Macaca mulatta: one gene and its partner. The protein of the gene in region 1 purifies or fractionates together with the protein of each later gene. This does not show direct contact. Links are inferred from orthologs where the notes say so. Each region holds a gene or a part of one and is shown in the gene's direction. Other genes may lie near its edges.

What was found. The genes of interacting proteins can lie anywhere in the genome.
Region 2: the proteins of AKAP9 (region 1) and CDK5RAP2 purify together in Homo sapiens (affinity purification with western blotting; 4 studies listed by BioGRID and IntAct, with this or other methods). This does not show direct contact. The link is inferred for Macaca mulatta from reciprocal best matches to the Homo sapiens genes AKAP9 and CDK5RAP2.

Annotation. Positions count from the first base shown.
Region 1 is NC_133408.1:127,434,086-127,438,436, reverse strand, and holds the start of AKAP9 (A-kinase anchor protein 9), read left to right. Parts: upstream 1-1,521; 5' UTR 1,522-1,675; coding exon 1,676-1,723; intron 1,724-4,351. UniProt on the Homo sapiens protein: Scaffolding protein that assembles several protein kinases and phosphatases on the centrosome and Golgi apparatus. Required to maintain the integrity of the Golgi apparatus. Required for microtubule nucleation at the cis-side of the Golgi apparatus.
Region 2 is NC_133420.1:37,798,696-37,802,343, forward strand, and holds part of CDK5RAP2 (CDK5 regulatory subunit-associated protein 2), read left to right. Parts: intron 1-1,667; coding exon 1,668-1,745; intron 1,746-2,708; coding exon 2,709-2,974; intron 2,975-3,648. UniProt on the Homo sapiens protein: Potential regulator of CDK5 activity via its interaction with CDK5R1. Negative regulator of centriole disengagement (licensing) which maintains centriole engagement and cohesion. Involved in regulation of mitotic spindle orientation.

The DNA of each region.
Region 1 (4,351 bases):
CACTTGGCTGTTAGAAGTTGGCAGAATGTATGCATTACAGAACTTAAGAAAAAATCTTTTTTAAAGCTAAGATTTCTAAACGAGGGCTATTTAAAACTCATCCTCAGTTTGTAGTCAGACTTTAGGTCTTTAGTCTCTCCTTTTATATACATATTCTTTTAGAGATAATTGTCAGCAATCATGCTTGGACAAAAAATTGTATTACAGGTAACTGTTTTTCCTCTCTTCCTTTCTTTTCTCTTCTCCGCACATAAATATGAAACCTGAGTAATCAACCAGAGACATTGAAATGTGTAGTTCACTCCAGGAATGGATTTGAGCGTTGGAGGGTAGGGAGAAGAATACAAAGGATCGAGGGAGCACATGTAGGGGAAACAAGGAAAGATAGTAATGCTAAATTTATAAACACTGCTCAATTCAATCCAAAAAGCGTTTATTGAGTGCAGAGCTCTGTGCTGGTCATTTTAGTAAAACCAAGATGAGCAAGACTCATGATGATTCTCTGTCATCAAGGACCTGGGAGTATGAGCTGAACTAAGACGCACACAAATTATTAAAATATGGTGCAGGGTACCCTATTTTAATAGGGTACATAAAGGAAGTCCAAGGAGAAATAAAGCTGACATTAAGAACGTTTTAATATGCCAGGGCAGTTACATATATTAACAACCCTTCCAAAAATTCCAGGTAGGCTCAGGGAGAATAGGAAACTTGTCATTAAAGCTAGAAAGTTGGTGTAGTCTGGCATTGTCCCTAACCTAGGTTCTGAAGCTCAAGCTCCTTTCAGAACGCTACTGTTAAAGGGAAGCCCGAAGGAGTCGGGGGAGGGGAGTACGTTTTGACTGGATGTGTCTCGGTTGCCGTGGAGGGAACAGGAGGTCAGAAAAGCCATTTGGAGGCAGCGTGTGCGATAGGACTAGAAGGATGAACCGGAGATTGAGTGGGAACCAGTGGAGGGAAGAGGGAGGGACTTTTCAGGCTAAGGAAGTAACAAGAGCAATTAGCTCCTCTCATAATTCCTTGAGTCGAGGAGTTAACGTAGGTAGAAAAACTGGCGTCCGCCCCCCCACCACCCTCCACCCCTGGAACTTTTCCATTGGAGCTTTTAGGTGTTCGCCAATTTCACCATTAGGTGTGTTATTTTTGTAACTTGAAGGAAAAAACAAAAAACTCATGTTTTAATAGCACTGGATTCCTCGGAGGGTGGGGGTCCGGCCAGGAGCCTCTGGCACATTCCGTCCCTTCTACCCCTCAGCTCGGCCGCCACCTGCGAGCCATTGATGTGCGGGAAGGGCGCTCCCTACGGCGGGATCCTCGCGGGTCGGAGGCCGGTCCCAGGCCTGGCGGGGGTTGACCCCGGAGGGCTGGGCCGGGGCGGGACCCCAGACGCACCTGCCCGCGAGGCGGCTGCGCGGACAGACGTTCCAGCCCCTCCCGCCTCGCCGTGTGTTTACGTGGAGACGAAGATGGCGGCGGCGGCGGCGGTGACGGCGCTTCCCGTGCGGCTGAGGGCGATCAGCCAGTGAGCGCCGAGACTGTTTCCACTTCGGGCGGGGGAGCGCCGGCCTGGCTCGGCTCTCTGGGCAGCGGAGCTTGCTGTCCCACCTCCGTCGAAACCGACCTTTCTCCGACCACCCCTCAACCCCTGTTTTCCCCTGCCTTCCTTGCAGAGGCCATGGAGGACGAGGAGAGACAGAAGAAGCTGGAAGCCGGCAAAGCCAAGGTAGGAGAGCCCGAGGCAACTGGGCCTGCAGTGGGAGGCGATGGCTAGCAATGGGTGGGAGGGGGTCTGGGAAGCTGAGTTCGCTGCAGCCTCAGTGCACTGCCGGAGAGGGAGGTGCTGCAGGGTCTGCATCTCTCCTCGCCCTCCTCCTTTCCCCTTTTTCCAGTTGGGGGACAAAGCCTTGTGCTGCTAGCTAGCTGATAATACTTCCGTGAGGATTGAATGTTGTGCCTTCTTTCTCGTGAATGTCCAAATAAAACTCCCCTTTTACTGTATTGCTGTAAACTAGTGTTTAGTTGCTTCTAAACCTCCGACCTTTCATTTTTTAAGGAGTTTTCTGGGTGGTGCAGGCATTGTGTTTTCCAGGGTGGGGATTTAGGGCTTTTCTTTATTGGGTTGGGGATTTGTGCGCTGATCATCGGCTTGTCTTCCTTAGGTGGCACGCTGGCACTCTTGGGTGTGTGTGATTGGCCTGTGACAGCTGTCTCAGCAGTGGCTTGTGTGTGCCACAAGTGCCAGCTGTGAACTTGGCTTTAGGGGCGTTTTTAGAAGCGTGTCTTTGTATGTTTGTACTTGAAGGTCTTTGTCATGGCATGCGCTTTTGTGTCGTATGGAATGTTATTGCAGTCTGTGAATGGAACTTCTGGGGACCGAAAGGTTCCATATGCCTAGTAACACCTATAGAATTCCTGCTTTAAGTAATTTAGTTGTTATATATCTCTCTGGCGAATCCTGATTATGCGTGTGCGTGTGTGTGTATATGTGTGTGTACGTGTATGGAAAAGCCTGTAAAGCAAACAATACAATACACAATTATACAGAGGCATCGTTCATTGGGCTTCATGAGAAATTTAACATATACAAAATATAAGCTGCGTAGCATATTTCTTTTAAAAATTACATATTTGAGCGTATATTTTGTCTGGGCTCAAAAGCCCCCTTCCTCCCTTCAATGAAGTCTTCTTTTATAGATTATATTCTTTTTAGAGATAATTGTTAGCAGTCATACTTGGACAAAAAATTGTATTACAGGTAACTGTTTTTCCTATCTTCCTTTCTTTTCTCTTCTCCGCACATAAACAAAGGAACCCAGGTTGGTGATTTATTAGCAATGAAGGGCCATACCGCAGAGATGCAGTGATAGAAGCTCAACACAAGTTTGTTAAATGAATATAAATGTAAAAACTAGCTTCATATTTCTAAAATATAGTTGACTTTCCTATAGGATCCCTCTATTTAAGGTCAAGATTTAAATGCTTGTATATAGCCAGGTAAATTTTTACTTTCGGATCTATAAATGGTGGGAAAGGGTAATCAGGGTACCTTTAGAAGCCCAAGCGCTTACACTTGTGCAGTCTGAGGGGCTGAGCAAGCTCTGTGCATCTAAGGAAGTAGTGGAGATGAAGTGTGTGCCCCCTCCAAAAGCACTGAAGATCTAATTAGATATCTTATTTGTCTGTTACCTCAGAATTTTTATTGCCTGCCCCCAGAAATATCTTTCCTAAATATATGTGAAGCAGTCCTACAAAACATGGTTTACTTTGGACATACACATTTCATAATAGAGGATTTATTTAAATTGCTTGCAGTTGTAGTTGATTTGGCAAAATACAATTCTAGTTTCTTTGTGTGTTTCTTTGTCTTTCAAAATTCTGCGTATGGGGTAAAAACCAACATGTTTAAGATGAATTTTTGTTGTAAAAGATTACCTTCTTTTAGAATTTAGTCCTTTTTCCAGTAAGATAGAAATCTATGAGACTTGTAAGGCAAGGTATGTTTGCTGCAACATTAACTATACAATGTAAAAATGCTGACATTGGGAGCCTGGGGCGAGAGGATCGCTTGACCCCAGGAGTTCAAGACCAACCTGGGCAACATAGACTCCACAAAAAATTAAAAAAAAAAAAAATAGCTGGGCATGGTGGTGTGCGCCTGTATGTATTCCCAGCTACTCGGAAGTCTAAGGTGGGAGGATCACTTGAGCCCAGGAGTTCGAGGCTGCAGGGAGCCATCATCATGCCGCTGCACTTCAGCCTGGGCAACAGAATGAGATCCTGTTTCAAAAAACAAACAAACAAACAAACAAAAAAACCCTGGAAATAACTTTTAAAGACAACATGAAGAGAATCATTTTCTAAGTTATATAAACATGATGGAATATTTTAAAGCCATTAAGATTATGAAGATTGCTAGGAATATGAAAAATAGTGTGGAAAGGGCATTATCAAAAATAACGTATACATTATTTCATTTGTATAAACGTGTGCTTTCAGATTAGAACTGAAAAACTCTGGATTATAATGTCATTCAGCAAACCTATATTGAACCCCCATTTTATACCTAGAGGTGGTGACAGTGTCTGCTCTCAAGTTGCTCACTGTTTAGTGGGAGAGACAGACTCTGGGTGATAAGTACAAAGAGGGATGAGCTGCAGTGGGATTTGGGGGATATTTTTCCAGATTTTGTTAAAGTGTTTTAAATGCTACGATCTCATTTTATAGAATTACTAATAAGGCTCTTACTATTGATATTAATGCACCGTAATATAATGCCTTTCAAATAGTAGTTATATGTATTTGCTTAATGAATGAGCAGAATGATTACTGAGTCATTAATAAGTGTTACTTT
Region 2 (3,648 bases), on another chromosome or scaffold:
TAATATTTTTAACATGGGTCTGCACCTGGCCCTTTTTAAGGCTTTGAGGAGCTTGTGGGGGTGGGCTAGGGGAGATTGAAGCAAGGAGAAGAGTTCTGTGCTTGGGGTGCCCAGGAAGGAGCGTTGGGTAGCTGAAGCGAGGAGGCCATCAAACAGCCTTTGCCTTTGAAATTTGCCGAAAGCAGCCCTCAGCATGTGTGGCAAGAGGCATCCAGGAGAGCATTCAGAATTCACGGTGTTGCCTCAGCAGAAAAGTTTTCTAATTTTCTTGAGTCAAGATCAGAATTGTAGGCAGCAGCATTTCTTCCTTTGCAAAAGACTTCTCAGGTCTGTATTTAAGTGCATCTGTTTTTAAAATTATGTTCTAAAGGCTGATGTCTTTCGCTGAGAGTGATTCCTCTCAGGGCCAGCTCTATGGAGCTGACCTCCTGGCTCCTTGGCCTTAGGAACTGTAGCAGACCCTTGGGTGGTGCTGGAGTGCAGCAGCCCACTGCCCAGTGGTGCAGGAGCTCTGATGGGGGGATCCTAAACCCTGGGCTCGCTTGCTCTCTGCCACTGACGTGCTGGGTTATGCTGGACAGATCACTTTCTATCTCTGCCACTTGGTTTCCCCTTCCATGAAATCTGAATTACAATGTGTTCTGCCCACTGAGCTATTGAGTCCAATAGCTTTTCATATGTGAAAGTGCTTTCCAAATTATTACGTGTTGCACAGATCATCTGTACATCATCTATTGATTTTGCCTCCTTACAGTGTTGCAAATACATCACCCCCCAGATCCTATTGTGGGTTACTCTCATCTCTGGCTTAGATTAGTGTGGCAGCCTCCAGACAGAAAAAAAACTCCTCCAGTACAAAATACAGACCTCAGCTTGACATTGCGTTGCCCAAAGCCCTTGAGTGGGCCCCTCAGTCCTCTTGGTTCTGGCCTTGCATCCTACTTTGTCCTTCCCTGCCCCCTGGGCCTTGGGTCTATGAACTGCTTATTTCTCCCTGAGTGATGATTCCACTCTTCGTCCCACTGTCTGCCTCTCACCTGCCCATTGTGCTGCCTGGCATTTCTTTCCCTCCTTCTTACCACAGGTCAGTCACAGTCAGTCTTAAAATGGTGAAACCCCATCTCTACTAAAAATACAAAAAATAGCCGGGCGTGGTGGCGGGCGCCTGTAGTCCCAGCTACTCGGGAGGCTGAGGCAGGAGAATGGCATGAACCTGGGAGGCGGAGCTTGCAGTGAGCCGAGATTGTGCCACTGCACTCCAGCCTGGGTGACAGAGCAAGACTCCATCAAAAAACAAACAAACAAACAAACAAACAAACAAAACACATAAGGTTTTAAAACAGGTGTTAGCCTTTGGGAAGCCAAGTTGGGGGTAGTGCCCTCACCTGAGCCTCAACAGCCTGTGTTTTCATTAACACTAAAATAAAATTGCTTGTTTACTTTTCTGCTAAGAGTTTTTCTAGGGAACGGATTGGGCCTGGTCACTCTGTCTCCCTGGTGTCCCACACAGGTGGGCCTGGCAGGACAGAGGCCTAGTGAAGATTTGAAGGAATGCTTGTGTGTGTATGAATTAGTGAATGTGAGGGGCTTGACTGTATTCTCATTCAGTTCTCTCTTGAATGCTGACAGCAGTGAAACTAACAGTTCTCGTGTTTTGCATTTTGTAGATGGTGACAAAGATCCCATGGAAAGTGATAATTCATTTGATCTGTTTGATTCCTCCCAGGCAGTGACACCAAAATCAGGTACAAAGCTGAAGTCTGGGTAACGGTGGCAGCATTGGATGTGACAGTAAGACTTTTTAAATTGCAGAAAAGGGGGTCCCTAGTCCCACCTCAGGAGGGTATTTGGCAAGGATTTGGGATTTCAAGTTCTCAGCATCTCCAGCTGGTGATATCCTCCTTCAAGCCAGTTAATCTACTCCTAGGTGTTACCAAGCTTAGAACATCATTGGGTCCCTGTTGCCTTAGATTAAAATTGTGACCATCTTTGTGAGGCTTTCAAGGCCGCCCAGGATCCAGCTCCAGTGGGCCCGTCCAGCCTTATCCCTTACCCTGGTGTAGCCACACAGGGGTCACCATCCTGCAGACAGGCCCACACTTTCCTCTCACTGTGACTTTTAGACCCCCTTTGTCCCACTCTTTGCCAGTAAAAGTCCCATTTCCTCAAGACTCATCATGAATGCACATTTTTCTGTGACATGGCTTTGCTGCTGTCCCTGGTCAGAATGACTCATCATTAGTGTAATTCTTGCTTCTTGCTCAGTCCAGCTCAAATGCTGCTCCTTCTCAGAAGCCTTCCCTGTTCTCTCCCTCCCTGCACAGATAATTGTTTTTCCTGGCTCTGGCCCTTCATCACTCTGCTGTTGCACCTTCCGCAGTGTCTGTGTTCTGATCAGACTGTGGGCTACTGGAATGCAGGCACCAGCTTGAGTTATCCTTGTGAATCTGGGGTCTTCTGCTGAGTGGGTGGTTGAAAAGTGTTGGTTGAGTTGACTTGAGCCTATCCTACAAGATGACTCGTAAGCCAGTGTGGGGTAATAGATAGAGGTCCAGGAGCCATGCGTCTTTTCCCCACTGGGCTTGTGTTGGGTGGCATTTGGGCACGAGGGCCTCTCCTAGCCCTCCTAGCTAGCTTCAACATCATAAGCGCCTTGAACGCAGAGTGTTACCTGAAACAGATTTTACATCCTACCTCTCATTTTACAGTTTCAGAGACTCTTCCACTCTCTGAGAATGACACGGACTCCCTCTCCTGTGACAGTGGCAGCTCGGCAACTAGCACTCCGTGTGTGTCCCGCCTGGTCGCTGGCCACCGCCTGTGGGCCAGCAAGAACGGCCGCCACGTCCTGGGCCTGATTGAGGACTATGAGGCCCTGCTCAAACAGATCGGCCAGGGACAGAGGCTTCTTGCCGAAATGGACATTCAAACCCAAGAGGCTCCCAGCTACACAAGTCAAGAGCTGGGAACAAAGGTAACCTGACCACAGAGCTGGAAGGCACAAGCTGCTCCCTGGGAGTGTCCATGGAAGGGGTAGGGGAGTCAGATGGTGCAGTTGTCCTCAGTAGGACCCTGAGAAGAGGGACTAGGAAGTGTGGCCCCAGAGAGCTCAGAGGTCAGGTCCAGTGTGGGGGACTGTGGGCGGTGGCTGTGTTTGATGGGGTTCATGCCCTGTATTCCTGCAGTTACTTCATGGGCTCTGCTGTCTTGCTCCCATGACGGCCTCTGTACATCTGGTCTCTCATCCATTCTTCTCTCCATCTGCACCCTGGTGTGTCTGTCCACTCATCTGCCCATCCACCTAGCTGTCACCCATTGTGAAGTGGAATTACTAGTTCAAAGGTTGTGAACTTCTTAGGGCTCTTGGTGATAACTGTTGCTGCATTACTTTCCAAAACAATTGTGTCTCTGTTCATGAATGTTTGTCTCACTATATTTTTGTCTTTGTTGAGGTTTTGTTGTTGTTGTTGTTGTGTTTTTTTATTTTGAGACAGGATCTAGCTCTGTCACCCAGGCTGGAGTGCAGTGGTGTGATCATGGCTCACTGTAGCCTCGACCCCACCTCCTAGGCTCAAGCAATACTCCTCCCTCAGCCTCGCAAGTAGCTGTGACCAGGCATGTGCCATCACACCTGGCTATTTTTTTTAT